Oryzias latipes: one gene and its partner. The protein of the gene in region 1 purifies or fractionates together with the protein of each later gene. This does not show direct contact. Links are inferred from orthologs where the notes say so. Each region holds a gene or a part of one and is shown in the gene's direction. Other genes may lie near its edges. The genes, in order: clspn and timeless.

Region 1 (3,818 bases):
TCAGGATGTCCCAAGCCTTCGTCCACGAGCGGTCGGGATAGGCTCCCGCAGCCCCGTGACCCCGAAAGGGAATAAACAGATTTAGAAGATGAATGAACCATTAAAATGTGAATTAGATTTTCCCTCAACTCAGAAATGTTAAAAAAAAACTTTGGTGCGACGGATAAAAAAAGAAGAAGAAAACACTCACTAAAACTGGCATTTTCTAAATAAAATAATAAACAAAAATCCACCTTGACATGCATATTTAAATAAAACTTCCCTCAGAATCAAATTCTATGTGTTTTTGTCTCTCTTTGTACTAACTGTCCCACGAACCAGTACCGGCCCGCATTCGCTGGGAACCACTGATCTAGAATGATCGGGATGTTGGAAAAACGTGCAGTGCTTCTCTGGGTCACTCTGATACGGGATGCCTAGAGAAACACGAGGAAACTCTAAAAAAAACAGTTTTTAGATAAAACATAAAAAAATGAATTTTACATGAAGCTTTGTCGCAAATTATTATTTATGTTAAAAAAGAAAAAAAGCTGCACTGTTTTACAAACCAGACTCATGACTGCTCCTCCACAACCTCCTCCTCCTCCTCCTCCTGTTGGAGGCAGATAAAGACAAAACAGGAAAGGGCCGAGAATAGAGCCCTGAGGTTCTGTGTCTAATGTGAACACCTTCTTCAGGATTAAGTCTTCATTCTCGGTTCATGTTTATTTTTTTTACAGATTCTCTTTTTTGTTGTTGTTTTTGCAGACTCTGATGATGACATCACGGCTCACAGAAAGCCTCGCCGTGTCGCCATCAGAGACAGTGACAGCGAGGAGGAGGAAGCGGCAGAAAACGGCTTCCCTGTGGCAGAAGCTCAGCAGCTATCCAGCGGCGAGGAGGAGCAGAGCAGCAGGAAAGGAGCGCAGAGGAGAGTTGCCCACCGGCTCACCGACAGCGAGGACGGCGAGTCGGATGGAAGGGAGGAGTCGCAGCAGGCAGAGGCGAAGAACAGAGAGAAGAGCCGGAGGCGGCGTGAGAAACAGGAGAGGCGAAGTAACGCGGTGGAGAAGCTGAAGAGGAGGAGGTTTGGCGATGAAAATGAGGTAAGTTCTGCTTGCTCAAACGGATCGGAACAGAGAGATGGTGAGGTAAAAACCCGTCTTGTCTCGTTAGGGTGGTGCTTTGCCGCGATCGCTGAACGACAGCGGGTGTCCGTTGGGCGACACGGACCTGTTCGACACAGGGCTAAACGACGAAGAAGAGGAGGAGGAGGAATCTTTGGACGCCATCCGAGCTGCAGTCAAGCAGAAGATGAAAAAGCAGGAGGTTAAGATAAATATCCGAGTCAGCCGTCTGCTGGGGCTCCACGATGAAGCCTTGCTCAAAGGTTCTGTTTCTTTAGGAACGCCTTCTAAGTGAGGGGGATGACGATGACGAGGCAGCGGAGAAGCCCCACCGCGCGGTAGGCGGAGCCAGAGTCTCCCCCCAAGCCAGGGAAGTGTCAGTCATGTGATCAACTTGTTGTTCTCCTGTCCACAGGAGAGGAAGGCGGCGAGGGCGAGCCGAGAGGCCATGAAGCAGCTGCACAGCGAGTCGCAGCGCCTGATCCGAGGTGAGCGCTCCTCCGCCCATCTGCGGCGCCCCCACCCGCTCCACCTGAGCTAACATCCCCTCCTGCCCCCACAGAGTCCTCTTTGGGTCTGCCATACCACATCCCAGAGCCCAAAAGCATCCACGACTTCTACAGGAGAAAAGCCCGCCCCCAGGGTCCCGCAATGGCACTGCTCAAGTAAGACCCTCCCCACGACAAACGTAGTTTGTTCTGTTTGGGAGTTTGACTCTGAGATATAGGCGTTTAAGTCGTTGAGCAGAAGAATTGCAGTGCAAAAAAGGCAGGAAGTTGGTTTGCTTTTTCAAAATAAAAGCCCCTTCATGTAAAGGCACTAGGAAGTCGCGCTGAGTTTCTCTCCAACCCTGGAGTTGAACCTGCGAACAAATCAAAGATCTTTGCTCTGAAAACAATATTTCATCTTTCTCCCATCAGATCTTCAAAATACTCTCAGATGATGTTGGAGACGCCGCCCGACGCTCCTCCCGTGAAGGAGTCCAGCCAACCAACTACAGAGCAGGAAACCCCTGCTTCCCTGGAGCCCTCAACCAATCAGATTGAGTCTTTGCCTGTGCCCTCAGCGACCTCGTCCCCGCAGCAAGAGAGAGAGAGAGCCCACGGAGAGAGTCTCTGTGGGCCAGACGGAGCTTCTGGAGGTTCTGATCCGGAGCTGGAATCGGGCCCGATGCTTTATCTGTCGGAGAGTCTGCAGGAGTCAGACGCAACGGAGAAACCTGTTTCTGACTGCGAGCGGGGAAGCCTGGCCCCGCCTCCAGAGGAAACCAGAACTGCTGCAGAGTCGGGCTCTGAGGTCCAGCAGCAAGAGGAGGCGGAGCCTCCTGCTCCTCTGCTCGTCAAAACCAGGAAGCTGAAAAGACTGAAGGAGCTGGGCCTGGACCCCCCGCCTGTGGCAAAGCTGTGCGCGGACGAGGGCGCTTTCGTTCAGCTGGAGCCCCCCCAACTCAACCCAGGTGAGTTTGATTCCGCTGCATCTTTGACCTGCCCCTCCGTTTTGCTCATGGCCGCCAACCCCCCACAGGCGTAGCGGCCCTGAAAGAACGCTACCTTCGTCACATTCAACCCCCGGCGCACCCCCCCGGAGAGCGCACGCTCCAGCTCAACATCGTGCGCAAAGACAGCGCCCCCTCAGGGCAGGAGGAACTGCGGTCCGAGACGCTCACGATCACTGTCAAAGATGGCGCCGAAGAGCCGGTCCCCGCCAAACCAGGTGAGGAAGAGCAGCAGGCGTGGGCGGAGCTACAGGGTAGTAGTGGGGGTGTGGTTAACTGGCGCGTCTCTGAAGGAGAGAAGCTGCTGAGTCTAAAGCAGCGCCTGCAGCTCGCCATGGCACAGCGGCGCAGGGAGGAGCGGGCCCGCAGGGCTGAGCTGCACCGCCTGGACAACGAAGACTGTGAGGAGGAGGAAGAGGAGGAGGACATGACAGATGAGTCGGAGGAAGAGGAGGTGAGAACTTTAAGGGTTTTATCTGAAAGATTTAAAAAAACAAAAACCACCAGACTCAGCGAAAGGAAAACCATTTAGGTTTCCCTGATGGATTTGAGCCTCAGTGCTTCCCCCTGCTGGTGTAATCCAGAAAAATCATAAATCATGGAAACCTTCAGAGGGTCTTCAGATGGTTCTTAAAAATTCCAAAACAATTGTGTTTCAGGGGTTGGATGACTTGTTGGGCGGCGCTGAAGAAGAAGGCGAGGTGGCGCCTGTGTCCGACCTTGTCCACGCCGACGGCACCCTCATGCTGTTTCCCGGCAGCTCGTGCTCTCGTACCGGGTTCGTTCCCCCGCAAAAAAACTGTTTAAAAAAAAAAACTTTTTAAGACTTTAACGCGTTACGTTCTTCTTCAGCGACGGCGTCAGGAGAGCGCCGCCACCTGGGCCCGACAGCAGCAACAAGACTGGTGAGTGCTTGCTGGTCTTGCCACTTCCTGTTGACGAGCATGTTGGGTTGAAAAGGGCGCCATCTGTCTGTGCCCCGCCCACAGAGGAGGAGGACTCCCTGTCCCTGGTGAAGGACATGAGCCACAACAGCAGCTTCGAGCTGGCAGGATCCATGCTCACCTCCTACCAGCCCGTCAACAACCAGCGCGCCACCGGGAGAGCGGCATTCGGCTCCGCCGCCTTCCGGTCGCCATCGCCATGCTTCTTCAGGCCCAACTTCCTTGGCTCGGCCTCGAAGGTAGACAACTTCAGAAAAGTTTATGAATTTTCAT
Region 2 (2,501 bases), on another chromosome or scaffold:
TGAGTTTTATAGAATAAAAACACAAGGACAATAACTCAGTTCATTTCGAATTTGTTGGACTTTCAACCTTTTCTTAGTAAGTTATTCTTTAGAGCTTTACGTCAGCACAGTAAGCCCCCCAAAAGGTTAAAGATATACTTTCTTCACAAAGCAAAGTGCAGGGATTTATTTCTCTTTAATTGATCCTAAAAGAAAACACTGACAAAAAAAGATGAGTGACTAAAAAGGTCCTGCTTTTTTTCTCCTATTAAGTGTTAAAAGGTCTCTGGAGGAAGAAACCTTTTACCTGAACACCTGGCAAACTGTAAAACTGCAAACATTAATCAAAGAGAAGTTTCACCTGCCAGCATTTAGAGCCAATCTTTATTTTTCTGCATCAAATTCTGTGAAACCGGTAGAGCCAGTATGGAGATCAAATCCATCTTTATTTATTTATACACGGTGACACAAATTGCTTTACACCAAAAATACATGAATATAAAATATTAATAATTTCTATTTATTAAATTAATGGAAGTAGTCAATGAGTCTCAGAAAAGAAATAGAAAAAAAATGAATTTTGATATATTTTTTTTAAATAAAATCTTTCTGTTGTTCCTTTAGATGCTGCATCAGATGCAAATTCTGATGAAGACTCAATCAGCTTAACTAAGAGGTGAGATTTTAAAAACCAAATGCCGCACAGACCCTCGAGTCTCCTTAAACCTTCAACTGACTGTCTGCAGCAGATCCCAGGAGGAGAAGACCTCGACTAAAAGAAGCAGAAGGGGACTTTCAGATGATGAGGAGATGGAAAATGGTATTTTGCTCTTTTTCTTCAGATTTGTATCCATTGTTTCAGTTTTCAGTTTAGTTTTATTTCAAACACAAATGAAAAGTCAACACACAGTGGTTTAAAAGACATGAAATAATACAGTGTGCTTGAAAAGGAGTGGGTTGAAGAAAAATCTTGTCTGCTCCCACCCCTTTTTCCAAAACATGATGATGTGCGTATTCAATATGCGTGTTGCTATTTACAGATAGATACAAAACATTCACAATACAATTCTGCATTGCAACTGTGCTTAAGTGACATTTTTTGTTTAACTAATCGTTTCTGGCCTTATAAAGTTCTATTAGTGACTTCTTGTAGGTTTTTTTGAATACATGTAAACTTTTGCTTTGTTTAAACCTTCAAAGTCAGTCAAAGTCTTGTCAGTCAGGTGGTACACAAAAAGAAAAGATTTAAATTGAATGTTAAAATGTCGTCTTTAATTCTAGGCTTAAATTATTTTTATGACCATTGTTCTTTTTTTTTTTTTTTATAATTAAAATGACTTATTTTCTCCAGAGCTGGACTCCAGCACCACAGTGAACATGGACGTGGATGCAGGAGCAGATTCAGACGGGGAGGATATTTCTGCTCCTGTTAAACGACGGCGGAAAATGGTCTTGATAGATGACGAAGAAGAAGAGGAGGATTAGTGATGGTCTTTAATGGACTGCGTAGAGTCTCATCTCTCATGTCTTCTGTGGCACAAAGCTTTCTGGAATCAGAGTGGGATCATTTAGTACCAAAAACCTAAAGTAATAAGTTCTTTTGATGTTTTTATTTTTACTTACCAGTTTATTCTGTTGTGCAGATTGTTGTTTGTTCGTGTCACTTCAATATAATGTTGAGAAAATGTTGCATTTGGTGTACACTCACTTTTCTATAGGTAAAGTGCTTTTATTGTTGCATTCTAAAGTTCAATCTCCTATTTGTATGCTCACCAATAAAATATCAGTTAACAGCAGAGAACATCTTCCTCTTTTTTTTTTAAGCTCTGATGCACTAATTTCTTTTAACACTAGAGGGCATAGTCCTTTTTTTCCTGAACAGCAGAAATACAAAAATATAAACTTTGATTAAAACTGTTCTTATTCTTGCTGTATCTACGTCTCTTTAACAAGTCATTTTTGTGTTTTTCTTGTTTAAGTGACTCAGTTATTCTTAAACGATAAGGAGACATAAAATCAAAGTAGGAGTTCTAAAAAACTTTTTTTTCTTTGTTTAGTGGAAACGGCAAAACAAATGTTTTGTACCTGCGGGTCATGGCTCATATTCGGCAGTCAACATTTTGTGATCTGTTTTGGAAGCTGCTGTCCTCACATCTGGACCACATTAGTAATTTCCTGTTGCAGCATCTGTGCTTGCCCCCATCCCACGTGGCCATAAAGGGGACCTGACAATCCACAAACTTTGCTTTAAGATGAGCAGAGCAAAAACGAGGTGAAGCTGATGGACTTCCAGTCAAAAACACAGGTTTTATGAACAAATTTAAGCCAAATCTTTATGAGACAGCTGGATAATAAACAAAAGTGACTTGCTTTTTCTTTTTTGAAGAGCAAGTCTGGAGGTTTTGTTAATTACATGTGAGCACCAGTCATAAACCCTGACACCAAGAAAAATGAATACATTTGGCCCCAACATGTTGATTTTTCCATTGAAAAACGATCAGGTTAGTTTGTTGACACGGCTG

The links.
Region 2: the proteins of clspn (region 1) and timeless purify together in Homo sapiens (affinity purification with western blotting; 4 studies listed by BioGRID). This does not show direct contact. The link is inferred for Oryzias latipes from reciprocal best matches to the Homo sapiens genes CLSPN and TIMELESS.

What each region holds. Positions count from the first base shown.
Region 1 is NC_019869.2:20,039,237-20,043,054, reverse strand, and holds part of clspn (claspin), read left to right. Parts: intron 1-747; coding exon 748-1,085; intron 1,086-1,155; coding exon 1,156-1,308; intron 1,309-1,384; coding exon 1,385-1,444; intron 1,445-1,521; coding exon 1,522-1,594; intron 1,595-1,668; coding exon 1,669-1,771; intron 1,772-2,026; coding exon 2,027-2,562; intron 2,563-2,630; coding exon 2,631-2,819; intron 2,820-2,894; coding exon 2,895-3,055; intron 3,056-3,260; coding exon 3,261-3,379; intron 3,380-3,453; coding exon 3,454-3,506; intron 3,507-3,590; coding exon 3,591-3,784; intron 3,785-3,818.
Region 2 is NC_019863.2:27,135,164-27,137,664, forward strand, and holds the end of timeless (protein timeless homolog), read left to right. Parts: intron 1-603; coding exon 604-655; intron 656-725; coding exon 726-799; intron 800-1,330; coding exon 1,331-1,464; 3' UTR 1,465-1,777; downstream 1,778-2,501. UniProt on the Homo sapiens protein: Plays an important role in the control of DNA replication, maintenance of replication fork stability, maintenance of genome stability throughout normal DNA replication, DNA repair and in the regulation of the circadian clock.